2 linked regions of the Alligator mississippiensis genome follow. The protein of the gene in region 1 purifies or fractionates together with the protein of each later gene. This does not show direct contact. Links are inferred from orthologs where the notes say so. Each region holds a gene or a part of one and is shown in the gene's direction. Other genes may lie near its edges.

Region 1 (3,909 bases):
CAATCACCTCTTGGCTAAACTGGCTAACTGTGGCCTTGACGTCACCACGATCTGCTGGCTGGGGAACTGGCTCCGCGGTAGGACCCAGAGGGTGGCGGTCGACAGGAGCCAATTGTCTTGGTGCGCTGTGACCAGTGGGGTCCCACGAGGCTCTGTCCTAGTGCCTATACTATTTAACATCTTCATCAATGATGTGGACATTGGTGTCAGAAGCGGACTGGCCAAGTTTGCCGATGACACCAAACTCTGGGGTAAAGCGTCCACACCTGAGGACAGGAGGGTGATCCAGGCAGATCTGGACAGACTCATGAAGTGGGCGGATGAGAACATGGTGGTGTTCAATGCTGAAAAATGCAAGGTTCTCCACCGTGGGAGGAAAAACCTGCAGCATGCTTATAGGCTCGGCTGCTGGGCATGAAAGAAGGTACACGAGCAAAAGAAGAGATAACAGGAGCAGCAGGGCAAGGGGAAGGGGAAGGGGAAGGGGCAAGCTGAGGAGTGTAGGAAACCGCAGATGATTAATTTTGTGGCTGAAAGTTGGAGCCAGAGAAGAGGCAATTACAGCCAAAGAAACAAAGGAAAGCGGCGGAGTGAATCAGGGGTTTGGCAGCCGGGACAGAGGACGACAGGTTTTCCAATGGGGCCGGACTGACGGGGACATGAAGCGTCCCACGGACACCGGCTCTTTATTCATCTGTTGTAAAGCACTAAGACGAAGCGAAGGAAGGGCACGACCAGCCGGGCCGGGTGACTCCTAACCAGCCTCGAGCAGCGCTGCCCGCTCCCGGGCTTCCCCGGCTCGGCGGCCCCGAGGGCGCGCGCGGGGGCGGGGGCATCGCGCGGGGCATCCCCAGCCTGGGCCGCGAGGGGGGAACGCGGGGGGAGGGGCGAGGGGACGCCCCGAGCCCGCGACGTGACGCGGCCCCGCCCCGCCCCGCCCCGCCCCCGGCCGTTGGTGCGGGCGTTGAGCGGCCGTTGGAGGCGGCCTTGCAGCGCAGTGCGTGTGAGCTCAGCGCGTCGCAGCTCGGGAAGACGCCGACCGCCCCCGGCCCGGCCCGGCCCTGCCCTGCCTCGCCTCGCCCCGCTCCTCCCCGCCCTCACACAGGCGAGTCCTGCCCGGGGCCGGGCCCAGCGGGGTGGCCGCGGCGGCGGCATAGGTGAGGTACCTGGACGGGCGCCCCCTCCGCCAACGGGCCCGGGCCGCTGAGGGGAGCGGAGCGCGGGGCAGGGGCCGGCGGCTCCTCACATTGCTGGAGGGTGAAGTCATCGCGCCTATTGTCTCCCCGCGGCAGCGGCCCAGCGAGCCGAGCCCGGCCCGGCCCGGCCCGGCCCTCCTCCCCCCCCGGGGGCTGGGAGAAGAGTTGAGCGCGGGCCCCGCTCCCCGGCGGCAGCGCACTCGTGCGGGGGGGTCGGGCCCCGCGCCCTCGGCGGAGGCTGTAGCCGCGCCGGAGTCGCGCAGTGATTTGTGCAGGGTGTGGCGGCGGGGGTGGGGGCGACGGGCCAGGCAACCAGCCCCGAGACCGGTGTGTGCCCGGGGCCCCCCACCTTCAGTGCAGGACGAGGGGCCGGGCCCCTCCTTCCTCTCTCCGCCCCCCTCCAAGCCGCGGGCTCGGACTGTGGAGGAATGCGGCTTTCCCGGGCTGAGAAATCAAAGTTGGGGGCCGCGGTGTTTATCCAGGCTCTCCTGCCTTTATTACCATGTGGCCAGACGGCCGGCTGTGGCTTTTAACCACCCCTCGGGGTTGATTAGCGGTTTCTGTTTCCTCAAAATGCTGGGTTATTCACCAAGGGGAAGGTGAAAAAGGAGAAGGGTATTTATGTAATCAGGGAGTTGCAGGATTGAATTCTGCCACGGATCAGAGCCTCATGTTCTCTGAATTTATTTCCACCCGTCTTCCACATTTTTTATTTTGTAATGGTAGTGGAAGGGCTGGACTTAAGGTATCCCGTGACCTGTTTCTCACTTTGCCTTTGGCGAAGGCAGGTTTTTAGTTAGGAATGAAAGGTTCTAATATGGCTTTTTTTGTACATCTGACTTGTGACTCAAACCTGAGGGATTCAGACTGGCTTGTAAATCAGAAATCATGTGGACTAGCAGAATTCATTTGCATGTATGAAAGTGACAGGCAATGGGGAGCTGTTTGCTGAAATGCGACTGTATGGAACTGTGAGAAGCAGTTTGAAGCAAGTGTGAATTTGTTGAGCAGTAGAGAAAGCATTTATGTATTTGACGCTTGCATTTCATGAGCATTAGGTCTCTTTTGCAGTTAACTGAGACTGGAAAATGAAAATAAACAAGCCCGTTTCACTTTCTTTTGCCATAACAGTAATTCTGTTGCTCTTTGGAAATGAACTATTCCAGAAAAAGGCCTGCATTAAGAAACAAAACAAAATGCCCCCACACAATTTTTCTTGACGTCAGAGAAACCTGCATACTTTAAAACTCCATTTTTGGATAAAATACAAATGTTTAATGTGTTTTTTCTAAATTATCTGAAACTCCAGTGCATACTCATGTTCTGCTTATTCTCGACAATGTTTAGATTTGAAGAATGGATGATCTGTTTGGCTTTTTTTTTTTTAATCTTAAAAGCAGAAATTTAAATCTCTGGACATTGTGTGCTTTTTTGGACAGTTTGATGGGAAATAGTAGAAGTTTTTACATACAAGAGTTAACAGAACTCTTAAATTCCTAGTCAGTGATGTCGGAAGGAGAGAAGGTATTTGACAGAAGAGTTTTGTGTGCCTGTATGATGCAGACGGGTTTTGGCCTCTGGGTTAACCAGTGAAGCAGCTTAACCATCCTAGCTAGGGATTCCTAGATGAAGTTAGTGTGTGTATGGTGAGTCAGTGGTAAGATTCGTAGTTTTATGTGATTTGTATTATGCTATGGCAAGTGCAGAAAACTTAACGTTTTCCAGTATAAGGCAGGTAGTGATGAGTTTCGGAAACTATAATATAGACTGTTCTCTTCATATTATTTTTTCAGCAGATTGTTTTCCTTTCATACAAATGTTTATCTTTTCCCCCCAATTAGTCTTACAGCGTTCATAAATATTTTTTTTTTTTGTATCCTAGCTAGAAGGGCAGGATGACAATCTTTTCCTAGACTATTGAATCCTGCTTTGAGGGTTCTGATGAGCAGCTTTGAACTCCCAAGTGCAGCAGCTACTTTTCTGCACCCATGTTGTCCTGCGGTCAAGGACATTGCCCCTATTATGTGGTTGGTTTACTGTGGTCTGTGGTTGGAGGTCCATAAATTACTTGCTGAATTATAATGCAATGTCCTGTTGATTAGCCACCAGATCTAGCAGAAGAAATTTTAATAATTGTCTAATACCCTGTTTTAGTCATACTTGGCACATTTAAGTTTCAAAGTTTTTGGTCTGATTCATAGTTTCTAGAGGAGCCTGTTCAAATTGATCCTTAGGGTTAATAAGTTTTTAGAGGACCAGTGCTAATGTTTGTGCTTATGTTGTTTTACTCATAAGAAAGTTAAATTCTGTTTTTTCTCTCTGTTCATTTGTTTCATCTGTATTTTGTCACTGACAAGATGTGCAACTGACTGAACTGACACGCACACAGCTTCAAGAGGCCGAGAATGATATTAAGAGATCGTCTTACTAGATGCACACAAATTATACGCAGAAGTAGACTTCAACCAGGAAGGTAATGAGACAGTTTGAGTTTGCTGTTATAATAATGGACTATTTGTACATATTTTATTTGTTCTTGTAGGGTATGAAAATACCTAGAAAAATACACATTTTCTAGTATATTTTGGTAAGAGGTGTTTCTTTGAATCATACATATTGATAATCATAAGCTGTATCTGTAATTTGTCCTGTTGGTAGTCTTCAGTGTTTGCTTTTCAATCTAAGGGGAAAACTTTTTGAGAGCGCTAAATTT
Region 2 (3,909 bases), on another chromosome or scaffold:
CAATATGCTTTAGTTCAAAGCACCCTGTCGTTTTTCTCAGCACAGGGATATCCTATGCCTCTGATATATGCAGCACGTGGGCATCTTTAATTAGCACAGCTTGCTCATTAAAAGCACCCAGCACCCCGTTGGGAGCACGTGTGAAAATGCCCAGCCAGTGCTGTTACATTTGGAGTAAAAAGCAGCTGGGGTTTCAGGCATCCTGCTCCTGTTTCTGCCTCCCTGATTTGAAGCTCAAACAGTCGCTGCAGATAGGCACTGTGAATTGGGGCTTAAATAGCATTTGACACCTGTGCCTGGCATGCTGCATTGCTGTGTACATGAGCAGCGGTAACCATGTTGCATAATCCTCAGCCTCCATCCAGCAAATTCTTACTCGCCTTTACTCACTACTGTCTGGTTGCCTGAGAGGTGAGGTGGGCCCAGGTTCGTTAGAGTAGGCACAGCATCTGTGGCATATTTGAACAGAGGTAACAGTCATAGCCACGGAGTGCTGCAGCTTGGGATGGCTGCCCCAGCCCTAACGCCCAAGATGAAGCCTGCAGAGCTGTGCTTAGTCAGACCTGGCAGGGGTGAACTAAAGGTGGCAAGAGCATGTCTAGCTATGAGCAACCATCCCCCTCGGGGCTGAGGAGACAAAGGCAGGTACTTTTGCAGCCCTGGGACGCGCACGCAGCACGCTATGCTCACGCATGCGCACTGCTGCGCCCAGGGCGAAAAAGGCGGAGGGAAGGAGCTAAGGGCGGAAGGACCTCGCCCCCTCCCAAGATCCAGAACGAGGTCTTTCCCCAGCACCTCAGAGCAGGAGCAGCGTTGCGGCCGCCGATTGGTGCGCCAGCAGGGCTCCGCCTTTTGATTGGCGGGTGGGCGCGGCTGCTGTTTCCTGATTGGCTGCGAGGGAGGGGTGGGATAGAGGAGGCGGTGCGAGCGGGGAGGAGCAGCACCGTGATTGGCTGGAGGGTGCCGGGCGGATATAAAAGGAGTGGCGCAGGGGCAGGAACACGCCAGTGCGCGTTTCTTCGCAGTGTAGTTAAGCTGCTTGGCGCGGGGGAACATGGCGGCGCTGAAGGCTGTGTGTGTGCTGCGCGGGGACGGGCCCGTGTCCGGCGTCGTCAATTTCGAGCAGAAGGCAAGGGCTGGACCCCGCGCTCCCACCCCGGGGCTGACGGCGGGTGTTACGTAAGCTGCGCGGGAGGTGATAGGTCAGGCTGGAAAGTGCTGAGTCATGCGAGGGGGTGGGCACGTGTGTCCGCGTTTCTCGCGATTTAACCCGGGCCGGGGTCCTGGGATCCCCGCTCTGCCTGGTGAGGGGTGGTAGGGGAGAAGAGGCAGCAGCTGGAGCCAGGAAAGAGCTGGGTGCTGGGGCTGGCCCCGCAGTCACTTGCTTTGATATTATATTGTTATTGATTAAAAAGTAATATGGTTAGTATTGCTATCAATCTGATGCTGCTGCCACTAATGCTAATAGCTGTGAGCCAGATCCAACCTAGGCAGTGGTGCCAGCCAGCCTACAGTAAGTGGCAGCAGTGCCAACTCTGCTCCCCTGTTGCCACAATTCTAAGCCTGCTGGGCTGGGTGGCAGGGTGGGCACTGCTCCCCTACACCCTTGCTTCAGTTTAGAGACTAGCACAATGCCTGAAGCCAGGGTGTGGAAAATTGTGGTCTCGGAGCTGTAGCAGCAGGTGGTCTGAGCAGCCTGTCAGTGCCTGATGTGCCTAGTCATGGGTGTGGAGCCGTCCTCCTCTGCCCCGGCTTGAAAGCAGTGAGCTGTGCGTAAGGGGTGTGGGGGAATGCTGCAGTAAGGTGCTGCTGCATGTGGTTTTGGATAGATAAGGCCAAAATGGGTTTTTAAGGGCTCTTAACTAAGATCCTTGTTGGGTTAAATCTAGGAGAGTGCGGAAGGGAAGTACAAACATGAGTTTGTCATTAGTGTGTTTAACTTGTGATGTATCTTGAAGAGTATACACATGGTGTACAAAGGTGTGGCCTTTGATAAAGGTCTTAGTGTTGCTGTGAAAGATGAGGGCTGACTAGCTAAGCTGCAGCTTCCTAGAAGAGGACCTAGGAGTTGGAGTGGATAATAAGCTGAATGAGGCAACACTGACCTTGTTGCAGAGAAGGCTAATGGTATACTAGGCTGTATTAGTAGGAGCATTGCCAGCAGATTGAGGGACGTGACTATTCTCCCTTTATTAGACTAACTCAAATAGAATAAAGATATCAGACTTGCCTGAAGAACCCTGTTCCCCTCTGTTTGGCACCGGTGAGGCTACATCTGGAATACTGTGTCCAGTTTTGGAGCCCCCACTACAGAAACGATGTGGATAAATTGGAGACAGTCCAGCGGAGGGCAGTGAAAATGGTGAGGGGGTTAGGGGTGTTCCTTGTATCTAACCTTAAGTTTCTCACCAGGAGGATAGTGAAGCAGTGGAACAGGTTACCCAAAGGTTGTAGACTCTACATTCTTGGAGGTTTTTAAGTCCCGAGTGGACAAAGCTTTGGCTGGGATCTAGTTGGGAATGGTCCTGTTTTGAGCAGGGGGTTGGACTACGTGACCTCCTTAAGTCCTTTCCAACCCAAATTTGCTATGATTCTGTGACACTGCAGTAGTTCTATAGAAGAAAATTTGGGTGGGGGGAACCCTCTGAGGTTATGGAAGTAAATGGGTCAAAAGGCAGCTGTGTGCACACTTGCAGTCTGAATCTTGATGCTAGAGTCATGTGTTCAGACCAGTGATTCTCGACCAGGATGCTGTGGCACCCTAGGGTGACTTGATCCTTTTGGAAGCTAGCACTGCTGGGTATGCAGACATGCTGTGCATGATAAATTCCCATTTGAAATCTCTGGGTTATAATATTAAACATTTGGACCTGTTCTGGTGCAAAGAACATGGGAAGACCACAAGAATTTTTTTTTTTTTTCTGTAGTAACCTCCCCCCCCCCCCCCCCCCCAAAAAAAAAAAAAAACCCAACAAAAAAACAAGAAGTTTTCCAAGGAGTCTAAAAAAAGCTTGAAAACTGGTTTAGATGGAATGAGTCTGCCTTGGGGGTGTGACAGCACACAACCATATACTGCATTAGCTGCAGTCCTATACAAACCACAGGACTGAAGAATGCATTCTCAATCAGGAAGTCTCAATCAAAGCTTTACTCCTTTGTATGCTTATTTACAATTCTGTAATGAGTTAATAACAAGCTAGAAATTTTATTTTCTTCTTTTTGTTTTGAAGGATAGTGGACCAGTAAAGCTGTCAGGAAGCATTCAAGGTTTGAGTGATGGAAAACATGGCTTCCATGTTCATGAATTTGGAGACAACACTAATGGTACAGTTTTCATCCAGGGTCTCAATGTAGCACTATCATAATGCAGTTTGGCTACTAGCTTATTGTATTTGATGCAGCCACTTTTATTTTTTGGACACTGGTTAATAGACAGCTGTGGTAATGCTTCTCACTTCAATCACATTCCTTTCATGCATAAAACCTATGTATGTAAAAACAAAGAAAGGAGTTGAAATGATCTCAGCATTGTCTTGCTGTTTACCAGCAGGAAGTGATGGCATAGATGGCAACATGTCTGAGCTACTGTTATTCCAGCATGCAGTTGTAAACCTGATGCGTGGGCCATAAGAGGCTGTTTAATACTATGGCTGTGGCACCTGCCAGCAAGTTAAGCTAAACACAAATGAGAACCTATTTCTTGGATAAACTCTAAATGGCTCCTTTCAAAACTTAAGTTAAGATTTGACTCTTGGTGGAGCTTGGCTTTTTCAATTGTGATCTAGGGCAGTGTGAAGAAGCTTGTGCAGCACAGCATAGTTTCGTAGTTGGTAGGGTTGGAAGGGACTTGAGCAGATAATCAAGTCCGACCCCCTGCCGTGGCAGGAAAAAGTACTGGGGTCAAATGAC

What was found.
Region 2: the proteins of RNF19A (region 1) and SOD1 purify together in Homo sapiens (affinity purification with western blotting, with the first as the bait; 3 studies listed by BioGRID). This does not show direct contact. The link is inferred for Alligator mississippiensis from reciprocal best matches to the Homo sapiens genes RNF19A and SOD1.

The regions. Positions count from the first base shown.
Region 1 is NC_081826.1:38,624,988-38,628,896, forward strand, and holds the start of RNF19A (E3 ubiquitin-protein ligase RNF19A), read left to right. Parts: upstream 1-968; 5' UTR 969-1,157; intron 1,158-1,166; exon of another isoform or gene 1,167-1,616; intron 1,617-3,553; exon of another isoform or gene 3,554-3,669; intron 3,670-3,909. UniProt on the Homo sapiens protein: E3 ubiquitin-protein ligase which accepts ubiquitin from E2 ubiquitin-conjugating enzymes UBE2L3 and UBE2L6 in the form of a thioester and then directly transfers the ubiquitin to targeted substrates, such as SNCAIP or CASR.
Region 2 is NC_081824.1:290,751,264-290,755,172, forward strand, and holds the start of SOD1 (superoxide dismutase [Cu-Zn]), read left to right. Parts: upstream 1-996; 5' UTR 997-1,054; coding exon 1,055-1,129; intron 1,130-3,230; coding exon 3,231-3,324; intron 3,325-3,909. UniProt on the Homo sapiens protein: Destroys radicals which are normally produced within the cells and which are toxic to biological systems.